Linked DNA regions of Drosophila melanogaster. The protein of the gene in region 1 interacts with the protein of each later gene in a pairwise test. Each region holds a gene or a part of one and is shown in the gene's direction. Other genes may lie near its edges. The genes, in order: CG1307, CG5721 and CG15459.

Evidence for each region.
Region 2: the proteins of CG1307 (region 1) and CG5721 interact in a two-hybrid assay, tested with the Drosophila melanogaster proteins (one large-scale study listed by BioGRID).
Region 3: the proteins of CG1307 (region 1) and CG15459 interact in a two-hybrid assay, tested with the Drosophila melanogaster proteins (one large-scale study listed by BioGRID).

Annotation. Positions count from the first base shown.
Region 1 is NT_033777.3:6,655,378-6,659,226, reverse strand, and holds CG1307 (uncharacterized protein), read left to right. Parts: upstream 1-1,784; 5' UTR 1,785-1,890; coding exon 1,891-2,079; intron 2,080-2,333; coding exon 2,334-2,705; 3' UTR 2,706-3,197; downstream 3,198-3,849. Other genes in the region: twr (twisted bristles roughened eye), read right to left, coding at 47-224, 800-1,059, 1,130-1,198; Taf1 (TBP-associated factor 1), read right to left, coding at 3,432-3,849. UniProt on the Drosophila melanogaster protein: The natural substrate for this enzyme may be peptidyl-tRNAs which drop off the ribosome during protein synthesis.
Region 2 is NT_033778.4:18,181,876-18,185,887, reverse strand, and holds CG5721 (uncharacterized protein), read left to right. Parts: upstream 1-1,797; 5' UTR 1,798-1,897; coding exon 1,898-2,014; intron 2,015-2,069; coding exon 2,070-3,347; 3' UTR 3,348-3,453; downstream 3,454-4,012. Other genes in the region: CG33958 (uncharacterized protein), read left to right, coding at 123-246, 413-723, 947-1,102; nopo (no poles), read right to left, coding at 3,509-3,748, 3,811-4,012.
Region 3 is NC_004354.4:20,411,819-20,415,560, reverse strand, and holds CG15459 (uncharacterized protein), read left to right. Parts: upstream 1-1,979; 5' UTR 1,980-2,063; coding exon 2,064-2,120; intron 2,121-2,289; coding exon 2,290-3,141; 3' UTR 3,142-3,220; downstream 3,221-3,742. Other genes in the region: CG15458 (uncharacterized protein), read left to right, coding at 1,474-1,536, 1,599-1,727.

The DNA of each region.
Region 1 (3,849 bases):
TTCGGGCTTAGTGGCGAAAAAAAAACACAAACGTCCTTCAACTTACCTTAACCTTGGGATATTCGTTCATGAAGATCGTGATGATGCCCACGTAAGGCAGGAAGCCCCTGGCCCGGCCCACAATGTCCTTTTTGGTCAGCCACAGCTGGTTGGGTGCATACAGGCCCCGGTCGTCCACGTTGTTATTGTCGCCCTTGGTCAGGAACTTGACGGATCCGTCCTCTCTGCAGAAAAGATTGATTGGGATTATATGGGACCAAACCAAACCAAAAGGAAATCATACAGAATACAATAAAAAGGAATCTTGGCCCGTGACTAAATATAAAACAACAATGTTTTAAGACAACGAAACACAAGCTTAACTTAATGACGTGTCCTAAAACTACAAATTGTATCTAAAATAAAAAATGATCTATTCCATACGGCATGTGAGCTATTTTCAATCCCTTTTAGAAAATATGTAATTCCTTTTTGCCTTCACTGCTGTAGGAAAACTTTTACTAGCCACTGTGTTCCATGCACCTTCTCATAAACGAGCTTAAGGGAGGTCCACAAATTTACATAACATTTCATGTGCACAAGGATTTCAAATAGTTAAAAAAATAGCATTACACAAAAGTGGCACTAATTTAGTTCCTTCCCCTGGCGATTAGAAACTATGATGCTCATTCCACCTAACCGATCAGAGATGTTAAAATGCCTACTTGAACAGCAAGCACCCAGTACGACATCATGCCCCATTCATCTTAAAGACGCTTTCTGGGATTGGTTTCCATATCCGTAGCCCCAGGAAACTCACTTTTCGTGCAGCTTGATGACGCGGTGTACAATGGGTATGTCCCTGCCCTCCACCTTGAAGACGACGATCTCGCCGACGCGCACCGGCTCCTCCTTGTAGTTAGTGAGGAAGAGGAGGTCGCCGCGGTGGAAAGCCGGCTCCATGCTGCCACTGAGCACGACAACGATCGGCGACTCGCTGCCGGTGACCACCATCAGGCCCTTCCAGATCATCAGCGCCGAGGAGACGATCATGGCGAAGCTCAGCACCTGGTACAGCGACTGCGGGAGGGAAAGGGCACGAATCAGGATGATATATGGGTGCATTGCCCGGAGAAGCGGCGCTGCTCACCTGACGCTTGTTCATTCTGTTGAAGTCGCCCAGCATCTCGTCAATCTGCAACATGCTGGCTACGCCCATGGCTGCGGCTGTTATTGCGGTGCTTGTGGAGGAAATAGCCTTTTTAAATGCAATTGAAAAGGTCCTTAACAAAACTTCTCGGCTTCGTCCACGAAGACAGAAAATTTCCGACACGTATGTTTAGGCCGAGTTGCCAGACGGTGTGTGACGGGTGCGTGATGATCTTTGTGCAACTATTGTTCGGTCACACTATTGTTTCCCAAAAACTCCCGCCTTTTGTGACTTTTTTTTTTTTTGGGTATAAACATTATTTAATTCCCGGCGTTGGTTCAAGTTAGTCTTTTATTCTGGTCTTCGTGTTTACCTTATAAATGTTTCAGAAGTTCTAAGATTAAAGGTCACTCTGTACTATAAATCACCATTTTTATTCCTATAACTTACCAATTGCGCACATTAGAGGCATCTTAACCTTTATTAATACATAGTAATATTATATAATATATATCGTAGTGGCAAAAATTCGAATTAATAGCGTTCGTAATAGTTCTTAAATATATTCCTGAGTTAACGGTAAAAATTAAAGAGTATCCCATACGCTACAGTGCTGCCACACCAAGCAATCGATAAGCGAGCTGCCACCACAATTTGACAGTAACGTTTTCCGCAATTGGTGTGACCGCAAGCGAAAACGTGAAGTGAGCGCCATCGGTGGTGTTTTCTCGCGAAATATAATATCAACTAAGCGGAGAAAGATGGGCGACAAGTTGCTGGATCCGACGCAGATCATCAATGGGCTGGCTGTGATGCTGTCCTTTTTCGTGGGCTACCGATACGCCCTGAAGCGAGGCGATGCCAAGGACTCCGTCACCGAGGGAGCGGCGACCCCGTTCTCGCAGGAATCTTCGGTGTCTAGCGGTTCCGAGGCTTCAGTTTCGGATAAGGTGAGAAGGAAAGCCCTCGGTAGGCATTCAATGGCCCCAATCCACCTAGTACTCTGAACTTGTTGTAGACCCAAATGCATCATTGAACGCATACACTTGGGGTCACAATAATAGCAGTGCCATTTTTTGTTGTACGGTAGAAGTTTTCAAAAGTCCTACTTTACATAGTTTAAAGTATGATTTTTTAACATAAGTATATAGCACATACACATTATAATAATATAATACCAACGCTAATTTTCTAAACATTGCAGGGCTATGGAGGCTTGAACGACAACTTTAAGATGGTCCTGGTGGTGCGCAACGATCTCAAGATGGGCAAGGGCAAAATTGCCGCCCAGTGTGGCCACGGAGCGGTGGGTGCTTACCAGCGGGCGGTGGTCAGGACGCCTCGACTACTGCGGTCGTGGGAGAACTGCGGTTGCGCCAAGATAGCCGTTCGCGTGGAGAGCGAGGCGGAGCTGATGGCCATCAAGAAGGAGGCCGAGAGACAGCAACTGAACACGTGTCTCATCCGCGACGCCGGTCGCACACAAATAGAGGCCAACTCCAAGACTGTGCTGGCCGTGGGTCCAGCGGCTGCCGCCGACATCGACCGGGTTACCGGCCACCTGAAATTGCTGTAAGATCCGCACTTCGGAAACTCTCACAGGCCATTGGCATTACTAATTCACTCAAGTGCAACCCGACAATTCACAAAGCAATACGGCGCACCGGTGGAGCGGTTGAAAGATTAAGGCCACCGGGTGGAGGACGACTGTGACATGCAAGCTAAGCTAAGATTTACGTTATTACATTAACTGTGAACCGAGCTATTAAACATTAAACGATTGACAGTCCGGCCTGGAACTGCAAAGCTCCGAAGCGTTTTTGTAGGGGTTCAAGTGGTAAAATCCTAGCTCAAGTAATTAAGTCCCTGTAGAGTATTTCCTTTTTCCAAAACTATTGTGTTTTGGTAAATCCTTTACTAACATATATTTGAAAAATGAAATGTGTCTACTCATTAAGATTATATCTAGCTTCCCACAGTATTTGGTCTATTTCTTTTCAGAAAATATCAGGGTCTTTTGAAAAGTAATGGTGACACTTGTTTGTTTCTAGGCATTATTTAAAGTTATGAAAATTATATTTTAAAAACATATTTTGAATTAGATTTCATAAATTGTAAAGTGTATAATTAAAAACATATTGGCATGAAAAGGAAATATTTTTTCAGAGAACATATTGTAGTATTTCAAAATCCGTTAAAACAATGCATTGTAAAAAGTGTATAAAATTGTTTCACAGCGAAGCTCAATCCTATTATTAAATCGACGTTTTATTTTCTAACAACTAACAATTATTCCCTATCACTAAAAAGTCCAGGCATAATCATTGTCTCCCTGCGGCGTCTGTTGCTGCTGCAGTTGCTCTGATTGCATTGGTGGCATCACTTGGTGCTGCAACTGCTCCATTTCCTGCACTTGTTGGAAGTCCAGTTGCGGTGGTTGCTGGTAGTCGAGAGTCGTGGGCTCGTTGGACGAATCCACCATGTATATCTGCGACTGCGATGCTGCCTGTCCCATCTGCTGGTGCTGCAAGGCGTAATCCCCGTCGTCGAAGACCTCCTTTTTGATACGCACTCGAGAACCATCGTCTTCCTCGTCACTCTCCGAAATATCCAGATCATCATCGATGCCCATTCCGTTGTTCATGGTATTGACAGGCATTTCCGGCGCCATTTGCATGGCCATTGAAGCGTCCATTCCTAAGTCTGCACCGGAAGCGGCA
Region 2 (4,012 bases), on another chromosome or scaffold:
TTTGCTAATCAACTTTGGTTTAAGCATATCTTGTAACTAACATTCAACTTTAGTTGTATTTAGGTATAATTTGTATTCCTTTGACATTTATCTCTAATGAGAGATACATCTCACACTTTCAGGTGGTGACCTTCTTGAATTCAATTTACCGGGTGTTCGACGAGCGTATCGAGTGCTACGATGTCTATAAGGTTGAGACGATTGGGGACTCATATATGGTGGCATCGGGTCTGCCGGTGAAGAACGGTAATTTATGCAAATTCAGCTGTCAGTCATTCAGTCATTTAAACCCCGCCCGCCGGCAACATCCCACTGCTTGACTGCCCCAAAAAGATTTGCGCTAATTTAAATTTCATTTGTGGCCATGCGCGTAATTTATGCCATGGAACTTTCCGACCCGCTGCCTCTGCAGGGAACAAGCACATCAGCGAGATAGCAACAATGGCCCTTGATTTGCTGGACGCCTCGTCGGTGTTCCGGATTCCCCGGGCAGGAGACGAATTTGTTCAAATACGATGCGGTGTGCACACGGGTCCGGTTGTCGCCGGTATCGTTGGCACCAAAATGCCGCGCTACTGCCTCTTCGGCGACACGGTGAACACGGCCTCGCGGATGGAGAGCACCGGCGAGGCGCAGAAGATACATATCACCGAGGAGATGCACGACTCGCTGCAACAGGTGGGCGGATTCCGTACCGAACACCGCGGCCTCATCGATGTCAAGGTATTTGCAATCGATCAAAATCATTCTTACGAACCTTGAGGATTCTACTTAAGATGTTTACACTGCGTATGAGTAATGTTTGTAAATTACCGTTAGCCCTTAGTATAATTCAGTTCCTTTTAACTCCCATTAGTTCGCTATAGCTTTTTGTGTACCGTGTTTTTTCCATACTTTTAAAACAACTTTTTTTGTTGGGTGAACCTGCAAACTGTTTCATTTTCAGGGTAAGGGTCTAATGAGCACCTACTGGCTGACCTGCAAGGACGGACCGGTTAGGGCTCGCGAGGAGATCTCGTGGCGGGCGGACATACAGCCCGTGTTTCTTGACCACCTGAAGCTGCATCCGCCAACCGACTACAAGCTGCCAAAGCGGAAATGAGATGCAACCAACTGCAAGTTTTCCGGCTAGGCCAAATAATGCTTATCCTGGCCATAAATTCGAGGTGCTTTTCTTTTGGATGTGCATGCATTAGTGTCCCGCTCTCTCAATCTCTCTATTTAAATATCTAAGTATCTTTCCTTTCTATCAAAAAGTTGAAGTTACACGGTGCACCAAGTGTAGATAAAATATACAACATAAAATTCGTCTTAATTTTAAATTCGCTTCAAAATATAATAATTAAATCACTTCCTTGAAAAAAAGTGGAAGTGCAACTGATGCATCGTGTACAACAACTTTAAACGCTTCAATGGCCAATCGTCTTTTTACATGTAATACACAGTGCAAATCACAAGCATGCGGCCAAAATACAGACTTATGTTAATAAAAAATATGCGAGAAATACATTGTTACCATTCGTTTTCCAACCACAGTGATGGGACATATATAAAGAAACCTAAAATCTTTTCTTTCACTTCTTTAGTTATAAAATAAGGTTATAATTTATTTTTTATCAAATTCGGTGTTAGTATTAATACAACAATTTTTTTGAGTGTTCAATGGTGAGTTTTATTAAACCGTACAACGATATGTATCGAATGTAAATCAGCTGGAAGTATGACCGCCCTGCGAAGTGCGATAGTGTGACCGCAGCCACTAAATTCGAACTGTGCCTGTGTGCCTGCGTGTGGGCGTGTGTGTGTGTGTGGGAAGTTACAGAGAGAACAAAGTAAAATTTGAAAAGTTAAAGCTGCAGCTGCTGAGGGCATAGCCAAAATTGGACGAATCACTGCCATGGCCAAGGTTATATCGCAGGACACCTTCGACGATGTTGTGAAGGAGAACGTTGTGGAGTTCTCGATGACTCCTTCGGAGGCGAAAGAAGAGACCATCAAGCAATTCGAGGCACAGGTAAGTAATGTCGACATAGTCATCCAGTAGATTCACTTTAATGAAATGATTGCAGGGCATCAACCTGGCCAACATTATCAAGGACCTGTCCGTCAATCCGCAAACCGGCCAACCTGTCATCAACGAAACGGTGGACAAGATCAAGGAGCACATTGGCCAAAAACTGGAGGAAACAACGGAGCTGCTGGAACAGCTGGCCACCTTGGATGCTGAGTGCAAAAAGTCGCTAGCCCATAGGGTTCTAGCCGGCAAAAATGGAGCCCACGATGCCCTGATCACCCTGTTGGAGGAGACGCTCTCTGCTGAGTCACCCAACGAATCCGTGTTAAAAAAGTCCTTGGAAGCCATCAACAGCCTGACCCACAAGCAGCCGGATCTGTTTGATGCCGAGGCGATGGCCGTGGTTCTCAAGTTACTGGCCCTCAAAGTGGAGAGTGAAGAAGTCACCCTGTTGACTCTTCAATGGCTGCAGAAGGCCTGCATCATGCATGAAATGAACCGCCAGAATATCATGAATACCTCCGCACTCAAACTCATGAAGCCCCTTTTAGGGAAAGGGAAGGACCGCCTGGTGCGTGAACTGACCGCCGTCTTCCGCTTCCTAGTGCTGGATGATGACATTCGCGTTGAGTTTGGATGCGCCCACGAGCACGCCCGCCAAATAGCAGGCGAGGTGCTCATCACCTTGGTGGAACTTTTGCCGGCCTATCAGGATCCTAATGTTCTGGCTGATCTTCTGCTGACCATTGGAACACTGGCTGTGCGTCAGGAACTCTGTACAGCTATCGACGAGGCTGGTGGACTGAAGTCCGTCTTCGAGATCATGAGTTCGAATTTGGATGAGGTGCGTCTAAATAGAGAGGCCTTAAAGTTGCTACGTGCCCTGGCTGGCCAAGACTCCGTGAAGTCACATATAGTACAGCAGGGCGTGGCTCCTATAATAAAGCAATTGCTAGAGACGCACCAGTCCAATGAAAACATCGTTGCCGCCGCTTTGGCCTGCGTGACTACTCTGACACTCCGAGTGCAGGAACACAGTGCCGCCTTTTTCGATACCGGCATCGCCGAAGTAATCGTGGAGGCTCTTCGCGCCCATCCCAAACACAAGATAGTCCAGCGAAACGGAGCGTGGGCCATCCGCAATATGGTGTCACGGTCGCGGAACCAGTGTGAAACCTGGATCTCCTTCGGCGTTGAGGATCTACTAAATATGGCAATGAAGGAGCACCCCAGTGTGGAGCAGGACATCAAGGCGGCGTTGCGCGACCTCGGCTGTAGTGTCCACTTGCGCGAGGAATGGACGGGCACGGCGGAGAAAAAAATTGCCGCCTAATCGCACACACATATGCCTTTTGTATTTTTATATATTTACTGCTAAATTATTACTATTGCTTAATTCATGCATTGGCTAACTAACAAAATCGGCAATCCTCAATACCAATCGCGTGCTAATACCCAACTGGGGCAGTCTCTTATGATCACATGGCTGTGGACTTATTTGCCCAGGTTAAAGTTGCGCAGCGAGCCGGCTTTAAGACGCTGGTTGACATTCCGGGAAAGGGCGGTCGAGGATCTGATTGTGGAAAGACCCTCTTCCTCGGCGCGCTGCGCAAAGGGGTCAACCTTCTCAGAACCGCCCATTCCATTGTAGACAAAATTTGAGCCCGTCGTGGCCGTCAACGCAGAACTACTTGAACTTCCCAGCAGCAGTCTTGGCTTCTTGAAGATTGAATACTGGGGGAATATACGGAATTTTTAAATGGTTAAGTGGAATTCGGCAAAATTATTGCGTTTACCTTTTCACTGAGATCACTGCTGGTTTTCCGTATGGTTCCGCTGGTCATAGACACACCGCCACCGACTCCCTTGATGGGCGATATTTTAGACTTGGCCAGCCCAATGTTACCCTTAGTATTAAGAAGATGCGCCAACCCGACGCTGCTGGATTTAATGTTGAGATATGGGGAGGTGGATTCTTCGATGCGCTTAATATTCTCC
Region 3 (3,742 bases), on another chromosome or scaffold:
TTCTGGCCGGGCTATAATCTTGCCACGTTAATTGACAGTGTACACAGGTATGTGGTCACCGTGCGAGGTGGCATGCGAGGCGCGATTCTGGCCGAGATGCGTTGACAATCCCATTGCTGGGCCGCATTTCCCCAGTGTTCATCAGCGATCATGCGAATGCAAATAAGGTTTCAATCTGAGATCTAACGGGGCGGTTCCAAAATCGGTTCCAGAGTTAGGGTCGCATGGATACCGCGCATCCAGTTTTCCGTTTTGAGGTCAAACAATGTAAAGATAATCACAATCGGTAATAATGTTTGGTATATATCTTAAAAAATTATAAAATAAAATCTATTTTTACAAATAGTTTGCTATTTACATATACTCCTTCAAGATGCTGATTTTAAGATATACTATCTGGAAAAAAAAGTTTTTATATTTTGATAGTCCACCAGATACCACCAGATATTTTGCTACCACCAGATATTTTGCATACCAGATGGTTGCTGTTTTTTTGTTTTTTTTCTGGAGACTCACATAACAAGTGGCCATTTTTTTCCAATATATTTAAAAATTTAATTACAAGGCAGGCATTTTAAATATAAGCCTTGTAACCCCTTAAGTAAGTCCATTACACTCACTTTAACCACCTATTACCTTGTATGCAAATGAGTAGTTCGGTTTGATTAGCATTCAAATTAGTTGCAAGTTGGCATTTATTTGGCGAAATGTATTTCATTTGTGCATTTAGTACAACTGATGACGTTGAAATAAGTAGTATTGCGTGTGGCATGAGCCCAAATCGCTGATAAAGCTAACTGCAATAAATAATAAATGTAAATTATAATATCACAAAAGGCTTATGTTTGCATTAGCATAACTGAAGCGTACAGCTAAATAGGCCAGAATGTTTACATGCTAGCTAGGTGATAAAATACATTTGTAGAGGATATATTAGATATATAATGGTCGATCGATATGCGATGTTAATATCAGATTCCAAGACTTTCATACGGACAGACATAGCCATATCGGCTTGGCTAGTGATCCTAATTCCGACCAGGATGGCAAGAAGTTCTGTGTGACATACAATTTTCAACGAATCTAGTAACTGGTTTAAAAATAGTTATAGCTGTAACATGCTTAAAAATTTCATAAAATTGTAAATGGTATTTAGCTCAATGAATTCTGAAGTTGGTTAAAGGTACAATATGAAAATGTCCAAAACTTTCGATTTGCCTCTTGCATATCTCAATTTTCATCACAGTATTTAAGCAGTAATTAATGGGTATCCCATTAGTCGGTACTAGACTTCAGCATTCTCTCTAGTTGGGAAACCCGAGTCGGCTTTGACGACTGTCAGTAACATTCCTTTCATTTCGAACGTTTAAAAGTCACAATCCGAATCCCGGTCTAAAATACAGGTCGAATATCGAATCCAAATTTTAATCTTTTGTTAAAAGCCACGCCAATCCGGTCAACAACGATCCAAAGATGTCCGATCATTTCAACTTCAACGAAGCCTTCAACAGCCAGACCATGCGTGGTCGCGCCAATGTAAGTGATTCAGTACACGGCAGTACACAAGATGCGCCCAAATACGCCACCGAAACCCACAGGTAGCCAAGGCCACCTGGGCCTCGTTGGGACTCGTCTACGTCCTGGTCAAGATGCACCGCCGCAACACGAAGCGGCGCGAGACCAAGCTCTACTGCAAGGGCTGCCAGCAGGCCATGCTCCATGGCTAGGGCGCCGATGCTGCCAAATCATTGAAGTCATGGCTCCCCACCGCTCCGACCCATTCGACCCGTCAGCAATCCATAACTATTTATAATCAGCACCCCCTTTCCGGTCCTCGATGCCACAGTTAAAGGCTTGGGGACCAAACTCATGTACCACCTCGTTGAGTCAATAAAAATCGAATCCTGCCAATGAATCGACTTTGTAATCTAGTTGGCCGAGCTTTGCACTTCGCTGCTTGTCATTAGGTTCTCGCTCGGAGCTATAGGCAGAACACACTCAGCTCTCACCCGGACCCGACCCCAAATCCAGATCTCCAGATCTCCAGATCCAGTCCAGTAGCAATGGCCGACGGCTTTAAGAAGTACTTCAATGGGACAACCATCAATGGACGCGCTAACGTAAGAGTGATTCTATTGAACGCACACAAGATAAAATGAACCATCGCTTTGGAGCTGTTGATGGACACAAAATATTATTTTCAGCTCCAAATTGAAATTCAAAATTATTAATTTAACATTTTTTTACATACATTTTTTACAAATACATATACTATGACCCATTTCGCAGGTGGCAAAGGCCACATACGCCACGTTGGCCCTGTTGTTCATCGTGTACAAGCTGCGCCGCGGATCCGGCAAGACCGGCGAGTTGGCCAGCGGCAAGTGCAGCTGCGAATCGGACCACGAGTCGTCCCTCAATGGCGACATTGGCGTCTACGGCGCGGATCCCGACTGCTCCGTTTGCCGGGAGCGATCGGAGCGGGCCATGACCGAGTTCGATCGCGAGCAGCAGCGCCGGGCGGCGGGCGAGGATGACAATGGTTGTCGCGACGATCCGCCGCCGCCACCACCTCCGCCCACATCGGGAGGATCAGGCTCTGCTCCGCGGCGCAAGTGTCCCTGCGAGGAGCCGCAGCGTCGGGCGGAGGGAGCCGTGAAGCATAGCAGCCACAGCAGCTGGGCGCGAGGCCAGCAGATTCAGCCGCCAAACCAGTACCAACAGTATAAACAGCCCGAGGCGGAGCAAGTGCGTCCGGCTAGCCAAGTGATGGGTCAGGTGCACGACGCCTTCTACAGGGTGCTGCGAGGAGTCGTGGGAGCCGTTTTGGGCAATGCGGCGGTCAACACCAGCGGCACCGCTTCCGATTCCCCAGCTCAGGCAGCCGCAGTGGAAGTCTCGCGGGATGAGCTGGACGAGGATGAACGTGACGACGGCCAGGACGATGAGACGCCGTTAAAGCGCCGCACGGCACCGCGCTCTTGCGTGCCCACAGGCAGCCAAGAGAACGCCTCGGGACAGCCGGAGGAACTGGGCCGGGAACAGGCCGACGACCAGCCGCAGGCGGAGGAGCAGGCGGAGTACAGCGCGTTCAGCGATGGCTTCACTTCCGGCCTGTCCTTTACCAGCGATGAAAAGTAGTTGGCTAGGTCTGGGCGTAGGCTTCAAGAGATCTGCTAAATTTTTAGTCTAAAATAAATACGAAGAACTTCTTTATCTCAGCATTATGCTTTAACAATCCATTACTTGGCGCCCCCGGGTGGATCCATTTCTTTCAGTCGTTGCAAGATACTAAATTAAACGGGGGGCAATTGCTTTATAAAGTATTTTATTTAGCTTCCGTTTAGTTCAGATAGAGTTTTCTTTGCGGCATCTAACTTTTAAATAGATCATCATTATAAACGTTTTTAGCCCCTTTGTGTTCTCGGGGTTATCAATATCAATTACGTAGCTTATTAACTGTTTTGGGCGGGGTTCGGACTCGAGATGGATGGGAATGGATTGGATTGGATTCAATTGGGTTGCGTCTAACGTTTAAGCCTTGTGTTTAATTATGAGTGGACTTCAACTAACATTTATATTTAAATTTATATGTATATATAATATAATATGGAAATAACTTTAACGTTTTGCTTTTTGGTTTCATTATGCGATCGACCGATTCTTTCGCTCTCTCGCCGTCTCTCTCTCTCTCTCGCTCTCTCATTCTCTCTCTCCTCATTCTCCCTCGCTTGCCGTCTCT